Oryctolagus cuniculus: one gene and its partners. The protein of the gene in region 1 interacts with the protein of each later gene in a pairwise test. Links are inferred from orthologs where the notes say so. Each region holds a gene or a part of one and is shown in the gene's direction. Other genes may lie near its edges.

What was found.
Region 2: the proteins of PRPF31 (region 1) and CDCA7L interact in binary tests that used the Homo sapiens proteins (3 or more experiments, as listed by UniProt). The two-hybrid records come from large-scale screens. The link is inferred for Oryctolagus cuniculus from reciprocal best matches to the Homo sapiens genes PRPF31 and CDCA7L.
Region 3: the proteins of PRPF31 (region 1) and PDE4DIP interact in binary tests that used the Homo sapiens proteins (3 or more experiments, as listed by UniProt). The two-hybrid records come from large-scale screens. The link is inferred for Oryctolagus cuniculus from reciprocal best matches to the Homo sapiens genes PRPF31 and PDE4DIP.
Region 4: the proteins of PRPF31 (region 1) and MIPOL1 interact in binary tests that used the Homo sapiens proteins (3 or more experiments, as listed by UniProt). The two-hybrid records come from large-scale screens. The link is inferred for Oryctolagus cuniculus from reciprocal best matches to the Homo sapiens genes PRPF31 and MIPOL1.
Region 5: the proteins of PRPF31 (region 1) and PRICKLE1 interact in binary tests that used the Homo sapiens proteins (3 or more experiments, as listed by UniProt). The two-hybrid records come from large-scale screens. The link is inferred for Oryctolagus cuniculus from reciprocal best matches to the Homo sapiens genes PRPF31 and PRICKLE1.
Region 6: the proteins of PRPF31 (region 1) and PNMA1 interact in binary tests that used the Homo sapiens proteins (3 or more experiments, as listed by UniProt). The two-hybrid records come from large-scale screens. The link is inferred for Oryctolagus cuniculus from reciprocal best matches to the Homo sapiens genes PRPF31 and PNMA1.
Region 7: the proteins of PRPF31 (region 1) and TSGA10 interact in binary tests that used the Homo sapiens proteins (3 or more experiments, as listed by UniProt). The two-hybrid records come from large-scale screens. The link is inferred for Oryctolagus cuniculus from reciprocal best matches to the Homo sapiens genes PRPF31 and TSGA10.

What each region holds. Positions count from the first base shown.
Region 1 is NC_091449.1:4,564,681-4,569,113, reverse strand, and holds the start of PRPF31 (U4/U6 small nuclear ribonucleoprotein Prp31), read left to right. Parts: upstream 1-1,418; 5' UTR 1,419-1,549; exon of another isoform or gene 1,550-1,781; intron 1,782-2,039; 5' UTR 2,040-2,047; coding exon 2,048-2,224; intron 2,225-2,301; coding exon 2,302-2,362; intron 2,363-3,803; coding exon 3,804-3,887; intron 3,888-4,343; coding exon 4,344-4,433. UniProt on the Homo sapiens protein: Involved in pre-mRNA splicing as component of the spliceosome. Required for the assembly of the U4/U5/U6 tri-snRNP complex, one of the building blocks of the spliceosome.
Region 2 is NC_091447.1:13,939,525-13,943,284, reverse strand, and holds part of CDCA7L (cell division cycle-associated 7-like protein), read left to right. Parts: intron 1-623; coding exon 624-770; intron 771-3,760. UniProt on the Homo sapiens protein: Plays a role in transcriptional regulation as a repressor that inhibits monoamine oxidase A (MAOA) activity and gene expression by binding to the promoter.
Region 3 is NC_091438.1:50,658,022-50,661,781, forward strand, and holds part of PDE4DIP (myomegalin), read left to right. Parts: intron 1-114; coding exon 115-347; intron 348-1,509; coding exon 1,510-1,942; intron 1,943-2,747; coding exon 2,748-2,940; intron 2,941-3,760. UniProt on the Homo sapiens protein: Functions as an anchor sequestering components of the cAMP-dependent pathway to Golgi and/or centrosomes.
Region 4 is NC_091443.1:38,300,077-38,303,836, reverse strand, and holds part of MIPOL1 (mirror-image polydactyly gene 1 protein), read left to right. Parts: intron 1-2,845; coding exon 2,846-3,077; intron 3,078-3,134; exon of another isoform or gene 3,135-3,760.
Region 5 is NC_091440.1:133,849,921-133,854,453, reverse strand, and holds the start of PRICKLE1 (prickle-like protein 1), read left to right. Parts: upstream 1-1,718; 5' UTR 1,719-1,865; intron 1,866-4,533. UniProt on the Homo sapiens protein: Involved in the planar cell polarity pathway that controls convergent extension during gastrulation and neural tube closure.
Region 6 is NC_091451.1:19,888,563-19,892,934, reverse strand, and holds PNMA1 (paraneoplastic antigen Ma1), read left to right. Parts: upstream 1-1,350; 5' UTR 1,351-2,401; coding exon 2,402-3,463; 3' UTR 3,464-4,192; downstream 4,193-4,372.
Region 7 is NC_091433.1:109,297,416-109,301,718, forward strand, and holds the start of TSGA10 (testis-specific gene 10 protein), read left to right. Parts: upstream 1-1,283; 5' UTR 1,284-1,389; coding exon 1,390-1,446; intron 1,447-2,674; exon of another isoform or gene 2,675-2,778; intron 2,779-4,303. UniProt on the Homo sapiens protein: Plays a role in spermatogenesis. When overexpressed, prevents nuclear localization of HIF1A.

The sequences.
Region 1 (4,433 bases):
CTGGCTCTGCCATTTATCAGCTGTGTGAGCTTGGTTGCTTAGCCTCAGCCTCACGTTTTTGCATTTCCAAACGGGGACAATGAGGATTCATCCCTAGGGAGGGTGGGCTAAGGGCAGAGGCTCACAGAGTCCCCCTGGGCCCAGCACCCATTTGCTAAGCAGATACCTCCCGCCTCTCCCCGAACCCCAACACCACTTGAAGGGCTGAACTGTGTTCCTTCCCCCTCCCCTTGAAAAGGCGTGTTGGAGGCCCAACCCCAGCACCGGGCCCCTACAGAGCAGACCAAGTTCAAAGGAGGCCCCTGTGTAAGGCCTACTCCAGCGCTGTGTGCTTCGTGAACACCGGAAAGTCCAGAGGCCGAGATCCAGGCGCGGCTTCCCAGAGCAGGAGAGGGCCAGGAACCGGGGGAGGCCCCCGGAGCCCCTGCTAAGAGGCCACAGAACAGGACCGCTCCCGCGGCGCCCCCTGACGGGCAAGACGGGGAGGAACCCAGAGACCTTGTCCCGCGGCGCCGAGCCTGGCTCCCGCTCCATCCTCCTCCGGGCCAGGGAAGCTGCAGCAGGGCTGGGGGTGGGGGGCGAGGCCCGGGCTCGGGTAGGGGAGGCGGGGGCCCGCGCTTCCACCTGGGGGTGTCAGGGAGCTCCCGGGGCAGAGTGCGTGGGCGAAGCTAGGTCGACACGCCCACGCAGGGGACGCACCCACCCACCTGCTCTATCTCCCGGCAACGCCGCCCCAGCGCCTGGTACTTCCTGCGGTTCAGCTCCCGCTGGCGCCGCCGCCGGCCCCGGGCGGCCTCCTCTTCCTCCTCCCGCTCCCGGAGCCCCGAGCCGCCCAGGCCGCCGGACACGAACTCCACTTCCGTCTCGAGCTCGCTCTCCAGAATGTGGCCGCCGAAGAGCGGAGGCAGCGCCAACTCCGAGCCCGGCGGCGCCGAGAACTCCTCAAAGCCCACGGCCGCCATGGTCCTGCAGGGTCGCGGGCGGTCGCGGACGCTCAGGGACGCCGCGCGCCCGGGCCCCAGCCCCCGCCTCCCGCAGCCGCCCGCGCGCGGTGCAGACCCGCCGCTCACCCCTCTCTCTGCTCCAGCTCCATCGCTGTCCCGCTCCGGGCGCCCCGGGCCGTCCGACTCGCGGCCGGGTCTCCAGCCTCGGGCCCAGGCTTCGCGGCGCGCCGGGGCTGCCACCCGGGCCCTCTGGGAGTGGGGCTGGGGGGTGCGGGCTCCTGTTTTCGGCCTCGTGCCCTCACCTCCCGCGCCCCGCCATCCCCACCTCCACCCTCCCGAGTCCCGGGTTTCTCGTCTGCGTGCCACCGCCTGTATTCTCCTGTCGACACTGTCGTGCAGCCACGGCGATCCTCCGCTCAGCAGGCTCCAGCTCTCCTCTCCGGGACTCACCCCGTCTCCTCCTCCGCGCGGGTGCTAATAAAGTTGTTGTTCCGAACGCGCGGCCGAGGGCCAATCAGAGCGCAGCGCCGGCGACGCGGGCGTGGGACGTCATCAGTGCGCGCCGGCCGCTCGGGGAAGCTGCTCACTTGCTGCAAACGGTCGTGGTGAGTGGGGTGCGCAGGACGGGGCGGGGGGCGGAGTGGGAGAGGGGAGAGGCGGAGGTCCTACGGCGCTCCCCGCCCGGGGTCCGGCCCTGGGGACAGCTCGGACGTTAGAGCTTGGGTTGACGGCGGGGAGGCAGGCTTAACCAGGTGGTCCCTTACGGGGTCCCCTGCATGTGAGGCGTCCGGGCCTACTCCCGTGGGGGTGGGCTGCGGGGGTCCCGGCGGTGGGAAGGTAGGGCTCGCGGAGACCTGGAGGCGAGGACAGGGTTGTCAGGCTCGCCCGGAGTTGGGTGGGGGGCTTTCATGGGTCCCGGCTGGGGCTAGCCCGGCCAGCGAAGCAGGCGGGAGTGCCTGTCCTGGGCAGCCTGCGGCGGTGGGCTCGGTGAAGAAGGGGCTGGGCCGGGGCTGGGCTGGGCGCTGGGGGCGTGGCCCCTCCCAGGAGCGGGGGCCCAGGGGGGACACAGTCCGAGGGGAAACGCCTCCCCCGCAGGTCGCGGGATGTCTCTGGCGGACGAGCTCCTGGCCGACCTCGAAGAGGCGGCAGAAGAGGAAGAGGGAGGAAGCTACGGGGAGGAGGAGGAGGAGCCGGCCATCGAGGATGTGCAGGAGGAGGCGCAGCTGGATCTCTCGGGGGACTCGGTCAAGAGCATCGCCAAGCTATGGGACAGCAAGATGGTGAGAGGAGGGAGATGCGGGCGCCCCCGGGAGCGGGGGTTGGGGCTCTGGTTCTGACTGTCCCCGGCTTCCCGCAGTTCGCGGAGATCATGATGAAGATCGAGGAGTACATCAGCAAGCAGGCGAAGGCGGCGGAAGGTGCTGCCCCCCACCCCTCCCCGCCCGGCGCGGCCCTGGCCCCTGCGTCCCGCCGACCCGCCGACAGCTGGCTCTGCCTTCAGCCCGGCCTAGCCCCCCTTTCTTCCTGAAAGCCCCCCTGCATCCCAGGGCTGGTGTTTCTGACCTCCTCGCCCTGTGCTGAGCGCCTGCTGCTTGCCGCTGGGCACACCTCAGGGCGTCCAAGCTCGCGTGGGGCGCGCACACGGCCTTTGCCACGGCCGTGAGACGCCAGCCGTAGGACCTGACATCAGGGGACTTGTCCCTTTAAGTTTCTTAGAAATCTTGACTTTCTGTTTCTATGCTTTCTATTTTTTATCCTTGTGGGTTTTTTTTTTATTATTATTATTACTAGAAAAGCAGAATTAGAGAGAGAGAGAGAGAGATGTTCTACATGGTGCCTCACTCCGGAGATGACTACAGCGGCCAGGGCTGGGAGCCAGGGACTCCGTTTGGGTCTCCCACAGGCATGGCAGGGGCCAGCTTCCACTGATTTCCCGGGCGCATTAGCAAGGAGCTGGGTCAGAAGTGGAGCAGCCGGGACTCGAACCTGTGTTCGTATGGGATGCTGGTGTTGGAGGTGGCGCTTTAACCCACTGCCACAACGCCAGCCTGTCCTTTACCTTTATCTAAGAAGGAAGCATTACTACTGTACGCTTTGGTAGATACGAGTTAGCAATAAAAGTAAATAACTTACTGTTAAATTATTATCTAAAGCCTTTTCCCGCTTCTGACATCGGGGCCCACCGGGTCAGATGTTGAATGTGCAGGTCAGCTCCTGGGAGGGCTGTCCTGTTTCTGCCCCTTGCTCTTTGTCACCCAGGGCTCTTGGTGGCGGTCACTGGCACCAGGAAGCGGGGCGGGGGGAGGTTGCTGGGCATGGGGGAGGGGAGTGGGCCGAGAGCAGAGGCTCCGAGAAACTGGTTCCCCCTTCACCTAGTGTTTCCCGGGTCCCTGCTCTTGAGATGCTCAGGGTCTGGTGCAGGAGACAGGCGGGTCCCAGGCAGTTGTCGGAGGGGCTCAGGGTGGGACTGTTCGGTCCTGCCTCGGGGGTCCTGAACCAGACTCCGGAGCCTGAGTACCTGCGCTGAGCAGAGAAGGAGCCCGGGGCTTGGGGGCCAGCCGGGCACTTCTCCCAAGCCATAGGGAGGGACACTTCCCCAGGTCAGGCCCGGCCATGCCCAGCAGGGGGGGATGTGGATGCACCGCGTCTCACAGCCTGGTGTCTGACAGGCAGCACCAGCACCGCCGGGGTGTGGGGAGACCCCTCACCAACCCCCCTCAGCCCCCGCCAGCCAGCGTCTGGGCTCAGCTTCAGGCCGTACCCTCGTCAGCCCCTCCCCCGGTCCCCGCCTCCCCAGCCGTGGGCCCCTGGGGAAGGTGCCTTCGGACTGAGCCCCGCACCCCGGCTCCTCCTCCTCAGTGATGGGACCGGTGGAGGCGGCCCCTGAGTACCGTGTCATCGTGGACGCCAACAACCTGACCGTGGAGATCGAGAACGAGCTGAGTGAGTGCCAGGCCGAGCTGGCCCTGCCTGGGACCCCGGGCCACCCTGCCCTGCTGGCCTCTCCCACACCCTGCCCGGGCCCCGTGCATGAGAGCGGGCACGGCGGGGGGCGGGGGGACAGCGCTGAAGCGGCGTGGCTCACGTAGGGAGAGGAGCTTTTCCTCTCAGGGAGCCACGCCGTGGTGCCCGGGCTCTTGCTGTCATGTGGATCTGCCGCTGGCTCGTGGGACAAGGCGACCGCCCCACTTCCGGCCAGCGCCTTCACGTCCCACCAGCAAGGCCAGGAGGCAAGGAGGGGCATGAGCTGCCGTCCTCGCTCAGCCGGCAGCCGGGACAGGCTCTGCCGAGACGCCGGCATCTGAGGGCAGTGCAGAGGAAGGGGGAGGCGGGGCCTGGGGAGAACCAGGGGACTCTGCCTCCGCCCTCCTCAGCCGCCTGCGCTGCCGCCCCCCGCAGACATCATCCACAAGTTCATCCGGGATAAGTACTCGAAGAGGTTCCCCGAGCTGGAGTCGCTGGTCCCCAACGCGCTGGACTACATCCGCA
Region 2 (3,760 bases), on another chromosome or scaffold:
TCCAGGTCTCCCACGTGGGTGCAGGGGCCCGAGGACTTGGGCCGTCTTCTGCTGCTTTCTCAGGCCACAGCAGAGAGCTGGACTGGAAGTGGAGCAGCCAGGACTTGAACCGGCGCCCATATGGGATGCCAACACTGCAGGCGGTGGCTTTACCCACTACACCAGAGCACCGGCCCCTATTTTATTTATTTTGAAAGGCAGAGTAACAGAGAGAGAGGGGGACACAGAGAGATCTTCTGTCCATTCGTTCACTCCCCAAATGGCCACAACGCATGGGGCTGGGCCAGGCTGAAACCAGGAACCTGGAACTCTACAGGCCTCCCACATGGGTGGCAGGGGCCCAGGCACGTGAGGTCCTCTGCTGCCTTCTCAGATGCCTCTGGAATTTGCCACTCTCATCTCTTCCCTCCCTTCCCTCCACCGTCCCCCCCCCCCCCCCCAGCTGTAAGGTCTTGGCTGCAGCACCTGCTCAGGGTGCCCAGGGCCTTCTGGGTAATCATGGCTCAGGGTGCCCAGGGCCTTCTGGGTAACCATGGCCCACGGGGGAAAGTCAGGAGTTGGACAGTCCCAGTCCTGACGCGATTGTAACAGTGCCCGGTTTTCCTCTTCTGACCCCAAAACAGATCCCTAAGGAGGTGGCTGACATCTTCAACGCCCCCAGCGACGAGGAGGAGGAGGAGTTCCTGGGCTTTGCAGATGAGGTTCCCATGGAAACCCTCTCGCCAGAGGGGAGCCGTGATAGCTTTGACTCCCTGGCGTCCCCGGCGCAGGTAGGATGCTGCTTCCTCCCCAGGCCTGAGCCTGGGGGCCGAGACGCCTCGGTTTGTGCGTGGCTTGCGGTCACTGAGGCCGCTTAGCCGGTGGGCGTCCCATCGCCAAAACTTTGCGCCTCTTGGTTTCTTCCCGCCCATGGTATTATTGTTGTTGTTGTTGTTATTAATAGAGAACCCTCATGTGATCAGATCTTTGCTCTGCTCCCTGCTGTATTCAGAACCCCCCCACCATGGCTGGCAGGGAGTGGGCCCCGCCTTTGCCGTGGCCGCCCGCGGGGTGCAGCAGGTGCTCCTGCCTCTTTGCAGCTGCTGGGCCAGTGTCATTCTCGGATCGCTTTGATCTGTAGCAAGCACAAGTTACAGTTCTGCCGGGGCTCACTTCCTGGAGGTTTGTCTCGTGCCGCAGCCATCAGAATACCTCCCTTTCCGCGGTGTTTCTGTGCCTTGCCACTGCCCTGACCGCGGCCGCTGTGTGGAGGCCCACCCTGGCTGCTGCTGGCCGCAGCAGGAAGGGAAGCAGTTAGTGTGATGAGGGGAAGGGGCTGCCTGACTGCTTGTTGGTGACCCTGGCCTCGTCTCGTCTCTAAGTGCAGATGCTAGGATCCGCCTCCAGAGCCTGGCCCATCTCTAAGTGCAGATGCTAGGATCCGTCTCCAGAGCCTGGCCCATCTCCTAAGTGCAGATGCTAGGAGTCTGTCTCCAGACCCTGGCCCATCTCCTAAGTGCAGATGCTAGGATCCGTCTCCAGACCCTGGCCCATCTCCTAAGTGCAGATGCTAGGAGTCTGTCTCCAGACCCTGGCCCGTCTCTAAGTGCAGATGCTAGGATCCATCTCCAGAACCTGGCCCATCTCTAAGTGCAGATGCTAAGATCCATCTCCAGACCCTGGCCCTGGCCACGGCCCCAGGCCCCCTGCATCCCACTCTGCCGCTGCTCTTCCCGCATACCTCGGCTCTTGCTCCTGCCACAGTGCCTCTCTGCGGCCCGCTGGGGGAGCCTGCTCCTGTGTGCAGAGGGACCTGCCTGCCCCGTCCTCTGTCTGCCAGCTGGCCAGCTGGCTTTCCTGGTTCCCCGTCTTTAGCTCCATCTTTCACTGCCCTTGATCCATCCTTCCTCCTCGTCCTCCTCCTCCTGTCTTGGCGATTCCCATCCGGGGGGGAGGAAACTTCTGCCGTGTTTCGCACACTGATGCCTTCCCCCACTTCGCTCTGCATCTGCTGGAGCCCTCGTCCTTCCCACCAGGGTCCCGTGTAGGCCTGGGCTCTGGCCACGCCCCCTCTCCTGCCAATCGTCTTCAGAGCAGGTCAGGCAGCAGGGGGGGTGGAGCCTGGGGCATGGACCCTGGGGGCCTTCGGAGCCAGCAGAGAACCTGGCCTGCCCTGGGCCTTAAGAGACAGAGCAGCTGTTGGGAGACTGCTGACTTGGTCACACGTGCCCTTTATGGTGCCCAGTGTGACCGCAGCACCCTCAGCCGGCCTATGGCAGTGTGCATGGGGAGCAGGGAGCCCGGCCAGGGTTGGAGGCCAGCGTGCAGCGAGGCTGGCCGCAGGAGAGCTTCGCCTCTGTGGGGAAAGGAAGATAAATGACAGCGCAGGCTTGGGTTTAGGACAACTGCTGAGTTTTTCTCCCGTGTCGATCAGGCCAGCAAAGATGTTGATTCCTCCCGGGCTGCCGGCTGCCTGCTGAGGCCAGCACTGAGCACAGCGGGAGCTAGGAGGACTGGGAGATCGGGGCTCCCTGCTGTTCCGGGGCCCCTGGCATTCAGTGGTCCGCTCTGGGTGGTTAATGCAGTTTCCATACAGACCCCATTGCCCTGCAGGTACCTGGCGACTTTAGCCAGGGCCGGGCCCTGAGTCCACACCCTCACGCTGTGTTCTCACAGCTCAGAGCCGCTGCAGGGACTTGGAGATGGTGCCCACCCTGGGCTCCCCGACCACACTTTGAATCTCACGTTACAGAAACTTCCCTTTTGTGGGTGCATCCCCCCCCCCAAAAAAAAAACAGCTGCACCACTGCTATCAATAAAGGAACAGAGTAATCTAGAATGGAGCAAACTCTTGCAGTTACCCACAGTCATTCATAAGAGACATTTTCAAGCTTAAAAAACGGTACATCTGGCCGGCGCCGTGGCTCACTAGGCTAATCTTCTGCCTTGCGGCGCCGGCACACCAGGTTCTAGTCCTGGTCGGGGCACCGGATTCTGTCCCGGTTGCCCCTCTTCCAGGCCAGCTCTCTGCTGTGGCCAGGGAGTGCAGTGGAGGATGGCCCAGGTGCTTGGGCCCTGCACCCCATGGGAGACCAGGAAAAGCACCTGGCTCCTGCCATCGGATCAGCGCTGTGTGCCAGCCGCAGCGACCATTGGAGGGAGAACCAACGGCAAAGGAAGACCTTTCTCTCTGTCTCTCTCTCTCTCATTGTCCACTCTGCCTGTCAAAAAAAAAAAAAAAAAAGGTACATCCAGGGCAGGAGGCACGAGGACCCCGGCTGGAGCCCTGGGGAGTGGTTGTGGGCTTGCAGGGGGCCACTCTGGGGGGGCTTCCCCAAAGTCTGCAGGTTTTCCTCTGCTTTCTTTGGAGCACTCTTAGGAGAGCTGGGTTTCCTCCTTTGTGGTATTGCAGAAGAAAGGAGTTACAGGGAGGGAGGCGAGAGACAGAGATCCATCTTCCACCCACTGGTTCACACCCAGTATGGGGTGCCGGCACTGCAGGCGGCGGCTTAACCTGTTACACCACGACGCGGGCCGCACAAAGATTTTTCCTTTCTTTTTAAAGGTTTATTCACTTATTTGTAAGGTACCATTACAGAAAGAGGGAGAGAGAGAGAATCTTTGATCTGCTGGTTTACTCTTCAAATGGCTGCAATGGCTGGGGCTGGGCCAGACTGAAGCCAGGAGCTTCTTCTGGGTCTCCCACATGGCTGGCAGGGGTACAAGCACTTGGGCCATCGTCTGCTGCTTTCCCAGGTGCATCAGCAGGGAGCTGGATTGG
Region 3 (3,760 bases), on another chromosome or scaffold:
GGGAGTTCTTTTTAGGTCTGCTTCCTTTATCCCTATTACAGACCACCCCTGCAATGTCCTGTTCTTGGATCCTCTTTAATGACCTAACTTCTTTAACCTCTGATTTTTTTTCAGCTCATCAAAGTGGCTTTGGAGAAAAGTCTAGCAACTGTGGACACCCCAGACATGTCGCTTTCCTCCCCCTCCCCAGTAGGCGGGGACAGTAACAGGTGTCTTCAGGAGGAAATGCTGCAACTGAGGGCTGAGGTTCACCAGCACTTAGAGGAGAAGAGAAAAGCTGAGGGGGAACTGAAGGAGCTAAAGGCTCAAATTGAGGAAGCAGGATTCTCCTCTGTGTCCCACATCAGGTAGGATGTTCTGCCAAGAGAGGGGAGCTTCCTAGGCATGAGGCACCGTGGCCAAGGCAGTCACTTTGCTGCAACCAGGGCAGTCATGTTGCCATGGACTGCTTAGTCCACATCCCAGGCTCTGGGCATGAATGCTTCCATACATTCTTTAGAGAAAAAAATCAGTAATGTTAGGTTAACGGTAATCCTCTGCTACTTTTCTCATAGCATTAGCAGGAAGCTGGATTGGAAGTGGAGCAGCCAGGACACAAACTGGTGCCTGCATGGGGTGCTGGCATTGCAGGTGGCAGCTTTATCTGCTATGCCACACACCAGCCCAATAATTATTTTTTTAAAAAGATTTATTTATTTATTTGAAAGGTGGAGTTGCAGAAAGAGAGAGGGAAGACAGAGAGAGTGAGATCTGCCATCCGCTGGTTCACTCCTCCAATGGCTCTGATAGCTAGGGCTGAGCCATCCCAAAGCCAGGAGCCAGGAACTCTATCCACACCTCCCACATGTGGGAGGGGCAGTGGATCAAGTACTTGGGGCATCATCTGCTGCCTTCCTTGGCACATTAGCAGGAATCTGGATCAGAAGTGGAGCAGCTGGGACTTGAACTGGTGCTAACATGGGATGCTGGTGTCGCAGGTGGTGGCTTACCTTGAAGCCCCACAATGCCGGCCTCCACAAGCAAATAATTATATAGGTACATTTGCTTATAATTCTGATTAGCATTATTTATTCCTTCGGTGTTCCTAGGTCCCTATTTATCATCCATTGGTTTAAAACTGTTGGTGATTATAATTAATGCAATTATATAATCCACTACAATACAATTATTGCAGGCAGGGGCCTTTCTGCTCTTTTCTTTAGAGTGTAAGTCCCCATTTTGTTTTGTTCAGAGGCCACTGACAATTGGAACACAGGAGGCTGTGTGGCTCAGGGTGTCTCGCGACCAAGAGTTTAATGAGGCACTGTGGACGTATGGGCAAGTCTCTCGGCCTTCCTGAGCCTTGGTTTTCTCATCTGTGAAATAGGGGAGCTGTTGGAAATCTATGAGGTTACTTTATGCTCTGGGGTGTCTCTGAGTGAATTCATGGAATTAGATGCGGGTAAAAGGGACTATTAGCAGCTGTGGTGAAGCCCAGCCCCAGCCCCTGATTGTGTCTGTTTCCACCAGGAACGCCATGCTGAGCCTTTGCCTTGAGAATGCAGAACTGAAAGAGCAGATGGGAGAAGCAATGTCTGATGGATGGGAGATAGAGGACGACAAGGAGAAGGGCGAGGTGATGGTGGAGACTGGAGTCACCAAAGGGGGTCTGAATGACAGCAGCCTTCAGGCTGAGTTCAGAAAGCTCCAGGGAAAACTGAAGAATGCCCACAACATCATCAACCTCCTCAAAGAACAGCTGGTGCTGAGCAGCAAGGAAGGGAAGAGTAAACCCACTCCGGAACGCCTTGGGCATCAGGATAAGGAGGCTGACGGAAGCAACCCGGAACTGCATTGTTCTCTGGAGAAGCACCAGGGCCAAGAGGAGGATGTGAGCATGAAGCCCTGCCCCAGACCCCAGAGCCTTGACCTTGGAGCTGCCCGCCCTGTGGATGCACAGCAAGTATGTGTGGGCATGGATGAGATAAAAAAAATACACACTTGGAGAAGGGCTGGAGATACCAGTCTTTACCTTAAACAATTCTGCCTTTTGTGTCAGGAGATACAGAGGGAAGAACACCTTTGCGCCAAAAACAGTGGTGATGATAATATTCTGCACACAGTCTGCCCTAGAATGCTTTTACAGCAGTATCTCATGAATGTTTCCTGAGTGCTTAATTTTCCAGGTAACACAGTAGGCATTAGCAGGCAAAAAAGCCTGACCAATGCCTTTGAGGACCTCAAGATGGTGGGGAAAGAGGCCATAGGTTGTGGCAGCTGCTGTGGTGTAGGGATGCACTGGGTTTGAGGCAGCGCAGATTGTCACTGTGCAGTGACAACTCTTCTCACCGCCATTTTTATCACAGCTCATCACAGCTCACCACAGCTCACACAGTTCCTGGGTCTCAGAAGGGTTGTTGGGGTCCCTTTAAGGGAAGCAGCTTTGCTGAGGACTTAGTAAAGTGAAGAATACAGAGGGATCTGAGATGGCCCCTGCAGAAGGAAAGCAGGGAGATGGCATTTGTTTACTGAGGTCTCCTGTCCAGATTTGAGTGGTGCTGTGCTCGGTGCTGTAGATACAGAGATGAATAAAGCAAATCCGAGTTCTCCAGGAGTTCTGTCTGGAAAATAAGAAACTGCCGGATGGCGTGAGAAGTGCTGTGACAGACACATGCATTGAGTCCACAGGGGTCAGAGGCTGAAGTGTCTGCTCCTGGGTGTGGGATGAGCTTGCGCTGCCCTGATCCCTGTGTTGGCCCCTTTCACAGCTGGATAACCAGTCCCAGGCGTGGGACCCTGTGCCTCAGTCAGAATTTAGCCTCCCAGGGTCCACCAAGCACCTGCGCTCCCAGCTGGCACAATGCAAACAACGCTACCAAGATCTCCAAGAGAAGCTGCTGATCTCAGAAGCCACTGTGTTCGCCCAGGCGAACCAGCTGGAGAAATACAGAGTCATATTCAGTAAGTCTTGCAAGTTCACTGTCACCACAATGCCTGTTTGCTTCTTGGGCAGCTACAGGTTCCACAGACTTGATTTTTCTTTCCCAACCTGAAAACAAATTTAATCCCGACCATCTTCCTGGAATTGTGGAAGTGGACCTTTTACTTCCATTAGTAGATGGTAGAAAAGAATAAACAGAGCAAGTAAGGTTTCGAGTTTGCAGTGAGAGGATAGGCAAGAAATGGGCTGACCGTCTAGGTTTGCTGCTTTGTGGTGTACCCAGTACGCTGCTGTACTTCTGTCAACCTAGTTAACGGTATTTCCTCTGCTCGTCTTTGCACCATATCAGACTTTCCAAAAAGATACCATCACTGTTGGTCTAGCATCAGCATGGCCCAGAACTTCCTGCAGTGGATGGGAATGTCTCCTATGTACATCACATGTAGCCATTGACTACATGAAACATGGCAAGTGCAACAGGGAATTTTTTTTTTTTTTTAGTATTTTAAGTTTTTTTTTTTTTTTTTTGACAGGCAGAGTGGCAACAGGGAAATTTTAAGTTTTATTTAATTGTAATGAATTTAACATAAAATAGTCATGTAGACTGTATGTGAGGTACATGTGGCCAGTGACTGTCTTATTGGACAATGCAGGTCTGGATGCCTTAGGACTCTAAATTAGTAAAGCTCTGTTCAAGTGATTACTGAGTCCCTGGACATAAAGCACTTGCTGGCTCCACGGGGGCTTCAGGGATCATACATGCAACACCCGACTTACAGATGTAACTGAACCGATGTTATTGGAAAGGGAGGCCAACTTATGCTGCATGAAGTAGGTGTT
Region 4 (3,760 bases), on another chromosome or scaffold:
ATATTCCCTTTCTCTGTGGAAGCAAAAAATGTGAACATCTGACTATGTGTGGCATTTTACATGTACGTGATCTCTATAACCCTAGTATAGTCCTTACTGCATTATATTCAAGTCATTGAATCAGTTTGCAGTAATCACTGTACTGTTGAGTCCTTAAGGGGAATATCTGTTGCTTGCTTATCTTTGTTTCCCTAGTACCTATCACAGGATAAATCACACTGTAGGTTTTCCATGAGTTATCATTAAAATATTGAATAAATTTGATAGAAGAGTTAAACTTTTGATACGAAATAATTAAATATTGGTAGAGGATAATGTAGTATTACTGAGAAGGACTGCATTGAGAACCTTCAGAAGATTTTATTTTGTTTTATTTTATTTTTATTTTTATTTTTATTTGAAAGGTAGAGTTATAGACAAAGAGAAAGGTCTTCATTCTGTTGGTTTACTCCCCAAATGGCTGCCATGGCCGGCGCTGTGCCAATCATAAGCCAAGAGCCAGGTTCCTCTTCCTGGTCTCCCACGTGGATGCAGAGACCCAAGCACTTAGGCCATCCTCCACTGCCCTCCTGGGCCACAGCAGAGAGCTGGACAGGAAGAGGAGCAACCTGGATTAGAACCCGGCGCCCATATGGGATGCTGGTGCCACTGGTGGAGGATTAACCAAGTGAGCCACAGTACTGGCCCAAGAAGATTTTAACTCTAATTTGCTAAAATTATACTTGTCAAAATAGTTTTTTTAAAAAAAGTCAGGAAAATTTTATGAATCAGCCTTTTTTAATATAAGGTGAAATTATATTCTCAGTAGAGAATATGCAGAATGTGATTTATAAAAGTCTTTAAATGTCTGATGAACAGTTCAGAATAAAGCCCTAAAAGATTTTTCTACTGATGGCTGGTGTTGTGGCACAATGGGTGAATGTGTTGCTTGGATGCCTGTATCTAGTATCAGAGTGCTTCATGTGAGGCCATGCTACTCTAGCTTTTCATTCGGCACTCTGCTCATGCATTTGGAAGGCAGTGCATGATGGTGCATGTATTTGGGTCCCTGCTACCCCTGTCAGAGACTTGGATGGAGATCTTGGCTCCTGGTTTCAGCAATGCCTAGTTTTGGCTATTACAGGTATTTGGGGAATGAGTTAGCAAAAGGAGGATCTTCTGTTTCTCTGTCTCTCTCTCTTGTTTCACTCTTGTCACTCTGCCTTATAAATAACAAATAATTATTTTAAAAAAAGCTTTTACTGATGAATAAAATTAGAGATACCCAAAGACAGAGCCTAATCACACAGTACAGGTTCTTTAAAAATACTTTAAAATTAAGAGTTTAAAATTTTAGAATTTGCTTTTTGAAAAGTTCAAGGGCCGTCCCTGTGGTCCAGTGGACTAAAGCCCCAGCCTGAAGTGCTGGCATTCCATGTGAGCCCCAGCTGTTCCGCTTCCTATCCAGCTCACTGCTATGGCCTGGAAAAGCAGTGGAGGATGGCCCAACTCCCTGGGCCCCTGCACCCACATAGGAGACCCAGAGGAGGCTTCTGGCTCCTGGCTTCGGATTATCTCAGCTCTGGCCATTGCGGTCGTTTGGGGAGTGAACTAGCAGAATGGAGGACCTCTCTCTCTCTCTCTCTCTGTCTCTCTCTGGCTCTACCTCTCTCTAACTCTTTCAAATAAAAAAATTAAAATAAAATAATTCTTTAAAAAAAACTTCAAGATTATTTCTGCTAGAAATAATGAAATGATAATTGCAATCACCATTTGTGCTGTTGATCTAATGTACTAGTAAAAAAGTTATGTGTGCATGTATGATTTTTCTCCCAGAAACCATACTATGCTTTGAAATGTGCACTACTCCTTTGAAACAGATTATATTTACTAGTGGTAACTTAAAAATAAGTTGTGTGATATATCCAGATATTATTCTCTAATTTGAGAGTACTTCACCAATGATGTGTAAATAAAAGTATGAGGAGCTTTTTTCCTTGGCACAATTTTTTTTATATCCATGCATGATTTTTTCAGAATTTGTATTTTCTGTGTATTGTGGAAAAACTTTTGCATGAAAATGAGCTCATACTTTTAATTCCATTTTTCATGAATTTTTTGCAGTATACTCGTGCATGGTACATACCTGATAAAATGAGGGTTAGAAATAATTATTATATTCTATACATTTTCATGTTGTGATGCTTAGAAAAATAGCAGCTAATGTTTATTAATGTGTCAGGTCCTAGACCAAGTACTTCGCATGTATTAGTTGAGTCCTCACAACAACTCAGTGAAATAGATGACGTTATAGTTCCCTTTTATGAACAAGAAACTGAAGCATGGAAAGGTTAAGTAACCAGCCCAAAGCTATGCATTTGGTAGAGCTGAAGTTCTAACCCACGCAGTCATAACCACCATTCCATGTACATTATCATTTTCCTATGACCCTTAACTTACTGTATCTAGAAAACAGTACATCTCTCAACCAGTGGTTTTCAATCTTAAATGTATACTGAAATCATCTATAGTGAGCTTAAAATATAAAGATTGGGTCCTAATCCCAGAGATTCTGATTTTATTAAAATAGGGTGTGGTATGGGTTTAAGATATTTTTGACTCCTTACATTATTCCAATGTGCAACATTGTCAGTTACAATCATAAGTGTCTATTGACTTTGGAAATAGGAATATTGATGGCAACAACCACTCTGTACATGCTTATCCAATTATAGTAGGAGTAAGATTGGTAAGTGTATATTTAAAGTTTTAGGACTATTCAGAAAAAACTATTCATTACTATTCATTTGTATTTAATAAGCAGCTATGGTGTCTCATATATCATGTTATGTTTGTTTAAATACAGATATAGCCCACATTTATCCTGAGCAAGAAACTGCAGGGAGAAATAAAAGTGCACAGTCAGATGAGCAACTGACTATGAATTCCAAGGGAAGCATGCATCAGAAATCCAATGAATTCATAAATGAAGTCCCATACGAGGACACGAAACTGCTAGGGCAGAGTTCAAGGAATTTTCAGATCATCAGTCCTTATCCAGATGATGCGACAGCTTACTGCACTACTGAAAAATGCAAGTGAGTGCTAGCAGCCTGAGATTTAGAAACAGAATTGGGAGAACTTTCTCTTCCTCCCTACCTCCTTCCCTTCCTTTCTTTCTCTGTTTCTTTCTGGTGTGGATTAAATTTGACATGTCATTAACTGACTAGAAGTTGGGATCTTTCCTAGCACTATTTCCATAATAATGATATACTGTGCCTAGTTAGCTAAGTGAAAAAGCACAAGGTGAGTATGAAGGAAAGTGATGAGATTTTATACTTTGTTCAGTATTTCTTTGATATTACATTATAGATGTAGAAATGACTGTTCAGTTAATATAAAAGTATTGTTGCTCAGGAGAGAAAAGCTAGCAGCTCCAGGATAAATTAAACCCCAAAATGTGTTTTGGTTTGGGTTACTACTGTTTTTCATTTAAGTGAATTTTAATACTTTTAGAAGAGTCTTGTTCTCTACCATATGCATTTCCTTATTACTTTACATTCTGTATTTTTTCCATTCACCTTGCCTACCTATCTCATGAAGGGATTTGGACTTTGTGATTAATGTACTTTGATAGCCATGGGCTATGAAAATATTATGTTTTTAAATTTCAGTGATTAATTTTCATTCTAGACAAAATATTTTCTGGAATAATTTCTGACAGTTTTGCATATAAACTGCTATTTCTATGTGCTTATAGATTATTTAGTAGATGTATTAA
Region 5 (4,533 bases), on another chromosome or scaffold:
TCCTCCCTCCACATTCTGCCTGCTGCAGTCACCCACTGGCCCACTGACCAGCATGGGCGGGTGGTTAAACAGCGCCATCCTCCATTGTTTCTGTTTCACTCCATGATTCGGATTCGTTCTGCTGGGCAACTCCTGTGGCCTGAAGGTCTCGACTGGAAACAGAGGCCATCCAAAGGCTGCGCATAGGAAGAGAGGGCCCTTTGCCCTTCAAAGTGCGCATTTTCACTGCTTCTGCCAACGGGATAAATCATTCTGTCCGTTTCCCTGGGCAGTAGTGGAGGTTAGACAGAAGCGAAAAGTTTACAGCTTAATAAGTAGGGCTGTATCCCTCAGCCGGCTGCACAGACACAGCTGAAAAGACCAACCCCAATAAAATGAGAGGAGCAGGGCGGCCATGCTCTCTTCCAGGACTGGCATCAGTTACGGGGCGCGGGTAGGGGGAGACTTTCCAAGCCACAGCCCCCTTCCTGGGGGGATCTGCGGGGGCGCCCGCAGGGCAGGGGAGGGGGCTTCCCTGGCTTGCCCCTCTCCTCCCCCTACCCCCGCCCCCGCCCCTCCCCCGTCTCCACGCTGGTTGCTTACATCCCCTCTTCCACCGGCCCCATTTTTGCTGACTGTTCTAGCCTAGCTTCAGTCCCAGGGAAAATGGAAGAGGCTCGGTGCTCTGAAAAATTCCAGCAGCTAAGGTTTTTCTTAACGGGATACGAATTGCGTCATCGACACCTCCCTCTGCGCGCCCCCGACACCTACACATCCTCGTCTTCCTGGAAGGAGCTCCTGCGCCCTACAGGGTGCACCGAGCCACGAAGGCCAGGCTCGGCGAGGGCACTTGCCCAGGTGGGGTGGCCTGGGAGCGACGCCGCGGCTCCCACCGGGGAGGGCCGCGGGTGCTGAGGATTCGGGGCACGCCGGTGTCAGGGCAGAACTTGGGAACTGGCCGAATTCAAGTCCGTCGTAGGCAAAGGTGCCTGCGGGCCCAGCCCCGGGAATTGGGCAGACAGAAAACGTGGAGTTCCAGGGGCCGGAGAGCGCCGACGGCCTGGAGGTGGTGGTGCGGGCCGCCGGTCTGCGGTTCGGGCACACGCTCCCCGCGCGGTTCGCTTTGGGGCGACCAGGGCCGTCGAGAAGGGAAAGAGACGGGTTGGGGGCGCACTGTGGCTGCCGGCCCGGAAACAGCAGCCCTCTGACTCCAACGCAGACCCTGGGTCCCCGCGGAGCCAGGAGCGCGCGGAGGAGTCCAAGTTGAACGAACTGCCCTCCACGCACCCGAAGGACCCGGACTCAGCGCGCAGACCCCACTCTGGCCGAGGCCAGTAAATCGGAAACCTGGGCTGCCCGCTTCCCCCCTGCACGCCTCCTGTCCTGCAATCCACCGGGATTGCTGGTCAGAGAGAGGAGCATAAAATTGGGGGCGGGGCGGGGCGGCACCAGCGCAGCACTTGAGCACCCGCGCCGCGCGGCGTGAACTTGCACGAGCCCCGCCCAGACCGGCAGCCCCCTGCCAGGAGCCCGCGCCTGCCCCGCGCGCCCCGCCCCGCGTCCCTCCGTCTCCCCTTTTCTCGCCCCGCGCGCCCGGGTCCCGCGCCGACCTCGCAGCTCGCGGCCGAGCCGGGCTGCGCGTGGGCGCGCCGGGCGGCCCGGATCCGTGCGCCGGGGGTATCCGCGCTCCGCGTTTTAGCTCGCGCCGGCCGGGGCCGGGCCGGGGGCGGGGCGCGGGGGCCGAGCGTCTCCGCCGCAGCCCGCAGCCCGCGCCGCCTCCCGGACGCCGCGCCGCCCGGCGGCTCTCCGGCTTTCCGAGGTCCGCGCGCCGCCGCCTGCGCTCGCCAGCCGCTGACGCCAGGACTGCAGCGTGCCGAGCGCCTGCGGTGAGTCCTGCGGGGGCCGTGACAGTGGCCGCGGCCGGGCGCGCCGCGGGGGAGAGGGCGCGAGGGGCCCGCTGGGCCGCGGGGACCTTGGAGGCACCGGGCTGCGGCACGGGCTCCCGAGGGGCGCCCGCAGGCACCGCGGCTCGATTCGCGCTCCTGCGCGCACCGCCGTCGGGGCCCGGGCAGGGGCCGCAGCTCGGGAGCCTGCGGACGCCCGTGCAGGGTCCGGGTCCTGCTCGCCGGGGAGGCCGCGCGCTTTTCGGCAGGGGCCCACCCGACTCCCGCGGGTCCCTGCGCTGCGGTTTGCTGCGGGTAGCGCCTACAGGGGAGAGAACGCGGGCGCCTCCTCCCAGGGGCGGAAAAAGTTGCAGAAGCCGGGCGTGTGGGTGACCGGAGGACCGGGGCAGGGGTACAGCGGGGGCTTGACGCGACCGCTGCGCTCAGAGAGGAGCGCAGGGCGCCGCCGGCGACTGCAGGCAGGGCCATTTGGGGGACTTTGGGGAAATTGTCCCCAGATGGTCTCTGGGAGGAAGGGAACGGGGCGGCGGGTCGTCCCTGCCGGAGCGCTCGCCCGCCCGGGGAGGCTGAGGGGCGCCGCCCGCACGTCTGGGCGCCGGAGTCGGAGTCTGCGAGGCGGTGCAGCGCGCGGCGCGGGGGACCAGGCGGGTCGGGGTCCGCCGACTCCTGCGGCGCCGAGGTGCCTCGGGCTGCGGGAAGGGAGTCCGCGCCGAGGCCGAGTCGAACCCTGTGCGTGCGCCCGCGTGCGCTGTGCCCGCCACCGCGCAGGGCTGCGCTTGCCCGGGATGTTATGTAAGGGACGCGGTGCTCCATCCAGTGTTCCACACGCACTGCTGGAGTGCAGGAACTTCCGTCCGTGTCTGCACGTAGGTCCGGGGTGTAGACAGCCGCGACCGGCTCCAGATGTGTGCTCAGCTGTTGCCTGTCACGACAGTGACAAGTGGCCCTTCCCCACCGTGGTCCTCAGGGGGGTGTCAGCGTGCGGCCGCCGGGTGCGGGTGTGGGCTCGGGGCGGCAGCCTTGTTCGACCACCCCCAGCTGCGTGTCTGTTCCCACACTCTGCCTGCAAGATAGATCCGCTTTGAATTGAATACCAACTTAACCCAAAAATTCTGCTTTGAGCGAGACAGGATGACGCAATATTTGTCAAGCTTCTCCCTACCCCCACCCCCCACCGCCGGAACAATATTTACTCCCACCAGGGGATTTTCAACCGAAACAGCAGCCATTTATCTTGTGGTCCCAGCCTAGGTGGCGGGGCCAGGCCTGGGACAGAGATCTGGCCCTGTAGCCCAGCAGGGAGCTCCAGAAAGCAAAACGCAGCACCTGCTAGCACCAGAGGCTTTCCAAAGGCCATGGACCAGGCCAGTCAGGAAGCAGGGGAGATGTTTTACAGGCTCTTCCAGAGCTGTTTATGCAGCGGATTTAAAGGTTCACAGTGCGTGCGCTCTGCAGATTAAAACTGAGCAGTGCATGGATGTTACCCACGGCTCGGGGTTAGCACCCTTGCCCACAGAGTCCCACCTTTCTGAGTTCACCAGTGGGGGCCGGGAGAGATGCATGCTGGGGCTGTCTGAGGAGGGAGGCGGAGAGGAAGGAGAAACTCAGGCTGCAGGGGGGTGGACATATGCCTGTGAGGGAGTGGGTGGAGGCAGTTAATTTTTCCATCCTTAATTTGGTACTAATTGCTGATGGGTCTCTGAATGAGCCTGGTGGTTCAGAAGAGAAAGGGTCGTATCCGGCTGAAGCGACAGATACAATCAGTGCTGCGATTACGCTTTCGTCATGCAGGTCCACACTGGGTGGCCTGTCTACATTAAAGGGGTGTAATGAGTGAGCCGGGGTCAGCCACGTTGCATCTAGTATCAGCTGAGAGAGGCAAAGAACCCTGAACCACTCAGCTTAGCCCATTCCTCCCAGCTCGCTCTTCTATGGTCACTGCGAAGGAAAAGCAAAACAAGTTAAAATTTCTGGTTTCTTTAAGGATTTTTAAAACTGTCCTCAGAACTTCTCTAAAATCTCTTCTAATTGCTTGAAAGCCAGACACTGAGAGTGGAGTGTCGAGACTGTTTTAACACTCACGAGGGGGAACGAGAATCTTGAAAAGTTGCTTTCCTCTCGTGAAGTCCCTCTGCTAATGGTGTAGCCCTGTGCTGCAGTCGTGGGCTAGCAGAGGGCAGAGTTCTCCCAGGCGAGTCTCCCTGCTTGCATTCTGGTGTCTGCGGTTCATTTCCTGGTCAGAGCAGCTGGTACAGAGAAGTCACAGTGGCTCTTGTCTGCTGGTGGAAGTTACAGAGGCCCCTTGACCAGGAGAGGCTCCTCCCCTTGTGAAAACAGCTCTCTGTTTTCTCCGTGTTGTTTAAAAGAGCAGGGACTACAGGAGTTCTAAAATTGCTTGCATCCGTGTGTAATTACCACGCTCAAGAGGAGGAGAGGGAGCGGGACTTGGGTTTCTAGCTGGCTCGGGTGCTGTTTCTGGGGCCAGGGCTACTTTTTCTTCTCGCTGCACTAGGTAGCTTTAGAAGCCTGGGAGAGGCAAGCCCAACAGTCGGGTTCCAAGTCCTGCACTGTGGCCATTCCTCGCCACCATGGGCAGCACGTGGAGCCAGCACTCCAGGACGGAGTGCCAGGGATCAGGATGGCGCTGGAG
Region 6 (4,372 bases), on another chromosome or scaffold:
CATCCGAGGAGACGGTGACATCGTTCTGTCCTCCATGCCTTCGGCAGCGCCCCTCACCGCTGAGGCACACACTCGCCCCTCTGCCGCCGCACCTCCGCCCAGGCACGGAGGTCTCGTGCTGCTCACGGCCAAAGGAACTGCCCATACTTAACTGCCTCAGTGACCTGATCTCTCATGTGCCAGATGCCTAGATGAAGAAGGAACACAACACATCCCGAAGCCTCGGCTGTTTAGCACCCTCTCCACGGGGGCCCGCTTTTCTGGACAGTATTTATTACTAGACTGGCAAGCCTGACTCCTTTAGGTTTACAGGAAGTGTGCATATTTTTATAAAACAAGTGTCCTCCCCCCCCCATTTTGCTGTGTTACTGTTTGCCTCTAACGATTTGCAGCTGTTTCTGTTTCACCTTTTACTCATTTGTCTCCAAGTTGAAGGCCTTGTAGGAGGGGACAGCCTTGACAGTCTGTAATTATTGTACAAATATTTTAATAGCATATAAAGAAGTATATTCCTTTTATTTTGAAACAGATGATCAGACACTGCCTTTTGTGTGTTTGCTGCCTGTGGCAACCTTTTTTAAAAAAGACTGTTACATATGAAAATGGTGTACATATATATAAATATATAAATATTACCTCTTTGGCTGTACAGTTGTGATAGAGCAGATGGAAGATTTTATTTTTTGTGTGCTTTTTATATAAAAATTAATACACTAAAGAGAATCTTGCTGATGTGATTGTAATGTACCTATGTAACTTATTTACTTTTGAATGTTCTTCTGTATCTTTAAACCTTTCATTAAATAAGGTTTTAAAAATTCAGAGTTGGATGCTGTGTTCTTTTGGGGGATTTTCATCCTCTGAGATTGACCGAAGCGGCCCTTGCTCTGGCTTGAAGAGTACCCGAGGCAGGGATTACAGAATACTGGTGCGTTGCCAGCTGTAGGTAGGTAGGTGGCCGGCCTTTTGACTAAGTGTTAGATAAGAGGAAGTGGCCGGCGCCGCGGCTCACTAGGCTAATCCTCCGCCTAGCGGCGCCGGCACACCGGGTTCTAGTCCCGGTTGGGGCGCCGGATTCTGTCCCGGTTGCCCCTCTTCCAGGCCAGCTCTCTGCTGTGGCCAGGGAGTGCAGTGGAGGATGGCCCAGGTGCTTGGGCCCTGCACCCCATGGGAGACCAGGAAAAGCACCTGGCTCCTGGCTCCTGCCATCGGATCAGCGCGGTGCGCCGGCCGCAGCGCACCGGCCATTGGAGGGTGAACCAACGGCAAAGGAAGACCTTTCTCTCTGTCTCTCTCTCTCACTGTCCACTCTGCCTGTCAAAAAAAAAAAAAAATTAGAAAAAAAAAAAAGATAAGAGGAAGTGTCCAGTCTGTGTGTCACACAAGTGGGATACTTGGGAGCCTTCGTTTCCTCTGGATGAGATGCCGTCCACGCACCTGGCTTGATGCGCCAGTTGCATGAGCAAGTCAGCCACCACGGGTGATACCCACTAGTATCTGAAATCCGCTCCGGATTAGAAGACAGAAGCCCTCGATGCTTATTGGTATTTTTTTTTTCATTGTAAAAGTCTGGAACATCTGATGGCTGCGGTACCATGGCAACCGCTCCCCCCACCCCGCGCCGCTGCGCACGGAGTCTTCGGGAGCGCGTCGTCCGGGACACCGTTGCCATGGTCACGCGCGCGCGCCTCGCCGGCGACCTGGATCCGGTGCGGCGGCCGCGGCTCGCGGGCCGGCCCCGCCCTGCACTGCGGCGGGAACGCGCCGGCTGCCGAGCTGCGCCACAGCCGCCGCAGCCCGTCGCGCCACGCGAGCCCGGCCGGCCCCACCAGCCTTCGCCTCCCGCCTCGCTTCTGCATCCTTCCTGCGTCTTTGCTCCCCTCAGCCCTCGGTTTTCAGCGGTCCTCGCTGTCCGGAGGGGTCCCCGCGCCCGAGAAGAAGCCGCTGCTCGCCGGCTGGCCCGGCTGCCGCCGCGGTGACCTCGGACAGCCTCTCCCGCCGGGCCCGGCACGCCGAGCGCTCCTTCGGGCTGCCGCTCCTCGCCCCGCTGAGGGCCGGGCTCGGACCGCCAGCGCCGGGGCGACTCCGGGAGCGGCGGCCACGCCCCGCGGCCACACCCCGGCGCTCCCGGGCCCCGCGGCTCCCGCAGGCTGCACTCTGGGGCCGCAGACCCCGACCCGGGACGCGAGATGGCGACAGCCGCGTGACTGACTGAGCCCCTGCGAGGCCGCGCCGGGGAGCCGCAGACGGACAGCGGGGCTTGGGTGTCGCTTGTTACCAGCGACCGCGGGGACCTGCCGCCCGCGCGCCTGCTTGCGGGGAGTGTCTGGTGTTGGTTGGAGTTCGGGGAGCCGCAGTCTGATCCGTATCTGTCGAATCGGTACCTTTGATAGTTGGGAACATGGCGATGACGCTGTTGGAAGATTGGTGCAGGGGCATGGACGTGAACTCCCAGAGAGCGCTGCTGGTTTGGGGGATCCTAGTGAACTGTGATGAGGCTGAAATCGAAGAGACCCTCCAGGCTGCGATGCCCCAGGTGCCGTATCGAGTGCTTGGGAGAATGTTCTGGAGGGAAGAGAACGCGAAAGCAGCCTTATTAGAGCTCACTGGCGCTGTGGATTACGCCGCGATCCCCAGGGAGATGCCTGGCAAAGGAGGGGTGTGGAAAGTGCTTTTTAAGCCCCCCACGTCTGACGCTGAATTTTTAGAAAGGCTGCACCTCTTCCTAGCTCGGGAGGGGTGGACCGTGCAAGATGTTGCCCGCGTCCTTGGGTTTCAGAACCCGGCCCCGGCCCCGGGCCCCGAAATGCCAGCCGAGATGCTCAGCTATATTTTGGATAATGTTATTCAGCCTCTCGTGGAGTCCATATGGTACAAGAAGCTGACGCTGTTCTCGGGGAGGGACATCCCGGGGCCTGGGGAGGAGAGCTTTGACTGCTGGCTGGAGCACGCTAATGAAGTCATAGAGGAGTGGCAGGTGTCCGACACAGAAAAGAGGCGGCGGCTGATGGAGAGCCTCCGGGGCCCCGCCGCCGACGTCATCCGCATCCTCAAGACCAGCAACCCCGCGATCACCACCGGCGAGTGCCTGAAGGCGCTGGAGCAGGTGTTCGGGAGCGTGGAGAGCTCTAGGGATGCGCAGGTCAGGTTTCTGAACACGTACCAGAACCCGGGAGAGAAGTTGTCGGCTTACGTCATTCGTCTGGAGCCGCTGCTGCAGAAGGTGGTGGAGAAGGGGGCCATTGATAAAGAGAACGTGAACCAGGCCCGCCTGGAGCAGGTCATCGCCGGGGCCAACCACAGCGGGACCCTCCGAAGGCAGCTCTGGCTGACCGGCGCTGCGGAAGGGCCGGCCCCGAACCTCTTCCAGCTGCTGGTGCAGATCCGTGAGGAGGAGGCCAAGGAGGAGGAGGAGGAGGCTGAGGCCGCGCTCCTGCAGTTGGGCCTGGAGGGGCACTTCTGAGCCCCAGGAAAGAGGGCTGCCGTGCAGACCCGGCCCGCAGCTGCTGTCCTGGTCCCGAGTAGTAAAGGCCTAGCTGCCTGCTGTTTTCGTTGTGTTTTTCTTGGAGGGAGGGGGTTCTGGCCTGCCCGTTCCTGTAACTCCGCCGACACTGCACAGAGCATGGGGAGCTGCTACAATGCCGATGGGCTTGCTGGCTGCGGCGCCCGCTGTCGACATGCCGGCACCCTCGGCTGTGACAAGTGTGAACCCGTGACTCTTCCCATGGAGATAAATGTGAAGTCGCACGTGCAGATGTTTAGCCCAGGGCCTGGCTCGCAGGAACCGTGAACCATCACATTGTTATCAGCGTCGAGGCTAGTGTGTGTTGACTGTAAATCATTCCATGTTTATATTAATGGAAAGAAACGTGCATTGTTTAGGTAATACTGCTCAGCCTCACAGTGCAAATCTCTTAGTGCTCATCTTTAAAGAGCCGGATCTGTGGAACAGAGTGTTCTGAGACTCCAGCTGGGGCGCTGGAAAAGGACTGCAGTTCCGGAGCTGTGCTGATCAGAGGTCGCGCAGAGAAACCACCTGGGGAGATGGCTAGGACCCGGTGACAGTGACCCACCCATCCCCCCACTCCCCTTCCAGTCCTTGTCAAAATAGTTCTTGTTCACCCAGATTTTAAATGTTCTACATTTGAACTTATCAAATAGATGTATAAGAATAAAAATATTTTAAAAACTATCGCTGTCTAGTTTTTCCAACATATTTAACATTTTTCAGTGTAATTAAGCTGTTTTCTTTTTTCTTAGGAAAACTTTCCCCCATGTCATAAAAAAGAACCTTTTACTTAAAAAAAAAATAGTGAGATGGAGCGCTCCCACAATGTGTGTGTATTAATGTATCCAATATTTATGTGTTCTT
Region 7 (4,303 bases), on another chromosome or scaffold:
GTGTGTGTGATGGGGGAAGAGTACTCACCAGGAATTGTCTCCTTAAACAAATCTTACTTTCAAAACGCACAGGTGTATATTACATCTAGGGCATCAGAGGACTGCTGTAAAAACCGAGTATCTGTAATTCAACTGTAGAAAAATGCAAGGGGATGAAGTCAGCGCTGAGGTTCAGAAGTTCTTGGGTTGTTTAAGAAAGATGACATACTAAATAGTAAGAAATATTCCTATTCAAGCTGGGCCCTTAAAAAACTGGCAGAATCACGCCAGTCTCATTCTTCACTAAAAATCTAATTTACCAACCTCAAGGTCATGTTCATTTTCACGCACTTGGATGGCCAAAAAGACGACAAAAGGTTAAGTTACTGAGTGAGCTCCGACCAGAGGCTCCCAGATAAAAAAGTTTAAATAGTATTAAACAGAAAACGATCCAGTATTAAATATGAAGTGAGATTGTACATCTTTTCGTTTTCTTCGTTAAACATCACCGGTTTTCCGGAAATGGGGTCTGGCGAAGCACCAGCATGTGCAGAAGAAATAGTGGGCAGGAACCAGGGTTTTCACTGCTTGTTTTGCCACTTCCCAAATCAACCCAGCCTCGGCGGCACAGCGCTGACCGAGGCCTGGTCGCCTCACTCCCCGAGGCCGAAGAAGAACCCCACCTGGTAGGCTTCCTGGAAACCGGCCCCGTCGGCTGCGGCAGCGGCTGCGCCAACAGCAGCTCTGAGGAGTAATGGGCTCGCCGAACTCAGGTCCCAGACGATTCCGGCTCCCGGGGCCAACTAGCACAAAGACACCGCCACCAAGCAGCAGGTGTCCCAGAGGGAGCGGAGGCGCCTGCGCATGCGCGTTCCCGCCAGGTGCGACCGGCCCGGGCCGCGGGTACGGAAAGAAGTCTCGCGGCTGGTTACTAGGAGACGGGACGCTCGGGCCGGGAGCTGGGCGCTGCGTGGGCGTGCGCCTGCGCGGCGCGGATGGGCCAGAGAGACGCCTCTCCTCGGCGCCCTGTACGGCGGGCAGGTGGATGTACGCGACGCTACGTGCGTAGGTGCGCGCGCGCACGGCTGTAGTCCTGTCGAGAGGGAGGGTCGAGCCAGGTACGCGTGCGCACGGGGACCGGAGGCGCGTGGGACGGAAGCGGAGCCAAGGCGCCGCTGAGGTGGAAGACGAGCCCGCCCCAGGTACAGAGCGTGAGGGCGGGGCCGAGGGCGGCTCCGGCCGGCGCTAACCGCCCCCGCCCGCTTGCCGCCGGGTCCCCTCCCTCCTCCGACTCCGCCGGGGCGGGGCCAGGTCGACTGGGGGTGTGGGAAGGGCGGGGACAGGGGCGGAGGATGGAGGCGGGGAGGGCCCCGGCTCGCCGGCGGAGGCCGAAGCCCGGCAGTCGCCGGGATGAGCTCCGCGGAGGACGCGGGGCCCAGGAGCCCGAGGAGGGACCCGGAGCGCCAGGTAGAAGCACGGAGGATGCGCCGGGGTGGCGGGGTGGGCTCTCCTGGGCTTGAAGGCCCCGGCCGCGGGAGGGTGGGAGTGGTCGGCGTGGGGGCTGCGGGCGACCTGAGGAGGGTCCTCGCTGCCCGAGCCGCGGTGAGGGGCCGGAGCGGACGGAGCGGCGGGGTCCGTGTTGTCCGGCCTTGGGAGCCTAGTCCCTATGGTGACCGCCCCGCCTCCTGTCGCTCCCCGCTCCGTTGTTGGGGACGCGGTTTTGTTTGGGAACTCTGTAGCGGAGCTGAGGAATTTGGAAGGCGAGAGATGGGGAGGTTCAGCCTGGCTCTCAGTCTCTCTTCAGAGTCTCCATAGACTTAGGGAATCGGGGGCCGAGACCGTAGCAGGCATTTGCATGAAATCCTCGTATAATTTCAGGAGAAACTACAGCGAAGGCAGGGTAGCAGGGCTGTGTTCGGAAAAGATCCTTGAGCCTGGTTGATCAGGGACCTGACACTGAAATGCACAGGGATACACTTGTGTGGGGGTTTTTTTTGCCCGTCAGATAAAGTCAAGGATTGCGGCTTTAGGAAGTTTTGCATGTCGGACAGAGTTCCAGCGCTTGTATACCACGACATCCGATGCTTTAAACTTCCTCTGCTGATTGTCAGCCCTTTTTTTTTTTTTTTAATTTATTTGACAGGTAGTGTTATAGACAGAGAGAGAGGTCTTCCTTCCGTTGGCTCACTCCCCAAATGGCCGCTACGGCCGGCCAGCACTGCGCGGATCCGAAGCCAGGAGCCAGGTGCTTCCTCCTGGTCTCCCATGGGGTGCAGGACCCAAGCACCTGGGCCATCCTCCACTGCACTCCCTGGCCACAGCAGAGAGCTGGACTGGAAGAGGAGCAATCGGGACAGAATCCGGCGCTAGAATCCGGGACTAGAACCGGGGGTGCCGGCGCTGCAGGCGGAGGATTAGCCTAGTGAGCCGCGGCGCCGGCCAATTCTTAATTGTATTTTAAGTAATCTGTAACCCAATCCCTGAGTCCTAATCAGTGGGAAATTTACTTTATTAATTTATTATTAAATTTACATTAAACCCTGAGGCAATACTTAATGGTGGCTTTCAAAATATATCACAACTGTTAACTTTCTGAAAAAAGAAAAAAAAGTCACTGCTTGTTGTCTGGAGTATAATCAGGTATCCAGACTGGTTGGGCTCTCCTTTCTGTCTTTTTCAGTTGTTTGAAGCAGTTTGCTTTAGGATGCTTGGTTTTTAAAGTCTCCGTACGCAGAGGCAATCGGAGCAGGTGTCACTGTTCATCCTCTTCAGATCATCCATCCCTTTCTCTCCCCACAGGTAGCAACTATCTCAACTTCTAATAGGATTTTTCCTTACAGTTTGAAACTATATATGTGAACATGGGAGTTTAGTTTGCCTTTTTTTTTAAACTTTATATAAATAGAATTGTATTTAGGTATTCTTGCTGTTGCTTGTAGTTGGTTTGCTGGCTAGTGTTCTATGTTCTGTTGTAAGGGTGTATTACAGTTTAAATACTGCACTGTTGGTGGACATTAAGGTTTTTACAGTTTTTGGCAATGATGAATGACACTGCAATGAACTTTTCATACATGTATTTCAGGATAACCTTTCGAAGTGAGCTCATTAGCAAAGTAATTATTTTTGTTAAGCTATTAACATCAGTCTTTTATGTTAATAAATTCTTGTAGCCCAGAAGAGCTTCTTGAAAACAACTGTGTAATCCCTGATGGAGCAAGGACAAAAAGCCTTAGATCCATGTTGACGTCTCAGCTACATAACAGCAAGCGAGCCCCCTTGTCTCTGCCCTGCTAATACAGCCCGCCCTGCTGTGATCAGCCCTGCCCTGCCTGGACTGCTGGACACTCCACTATCTGAAGAGTCCAGCTATCAGGCTGAGCTCGCCCCGCTCCTCCCAAACTCTCTCCCTTCCCCTCCCTCGGTTCAGCAGCCCAGCCTCAGCCCAGACCCCTCCCAGTTCACACCGTAATCTCTCAGGACCTTTAGAACTAGCTCAAGCTCTCCCTGTATCTCAGACCCCAAGCCCTCTTTGCCACTTTGTACTATATAAACTGCTAGTCTGTAAGGGAAGGGGCTCTCTCTGCTGTGTGTTCACCTGGGAGTGAGCCCCTCCCTGGCTTTATTCTTCTGAATAAGCCTGGCCTGGCTGTGGCTTCATACTCTGTCTGTTTCCTGGTAATTCCTTTTTGTGTTTCCAAGAGGTCTTGATAAACATTATTTCTCCTGTGGCCATTTTTTATGCTTCTTTGAAAAGACAAGTTATTTCTTTACACTTATGTGTGGATTGTGGAAAAGAGAGGAGCTTGGGTTTGGATGGAATGACCAGGGAGGTTCTTCTTCTTAAGAAGGATTGAACAGTGGGGCTTTACTGTTTTGTCTGACGTGAATTCCCAAAACATTTATTCAATTATGTTTATTGTAAATAAAAGGAGTCAAAATTATATATAAAAATTCTGTGTGGTTTTCCACATCTTTCTGTTAGTAAGGCTATTTCTACTTCAGAGTGTGTATAAGTCTAAAAACTTCTGGAGATCATTAAAAAAAAAAGATTTATTATTTAAAAGAATGATTGAGTGAGAGAGAGACCTTCCATCCAGTGGTTCACTCCCCAGATGGCCCCAACGGCCAGGGCTGAGCCAGACCAAAGCCAAGAGCTTCATCCTGATCTCCCATGTGAATGCAGGGGTCCAAACACTTTGGCCATCTTCTGCTTTCCCAGACCGTTGGCAGGGAGCTGGATTATAAGTGGAGCAGCTGGGACACAAACTGATGTCCATTTAGGATGCCAGTGTTGCAGGTGGCAGTTTTACCTGTTACTCCACAA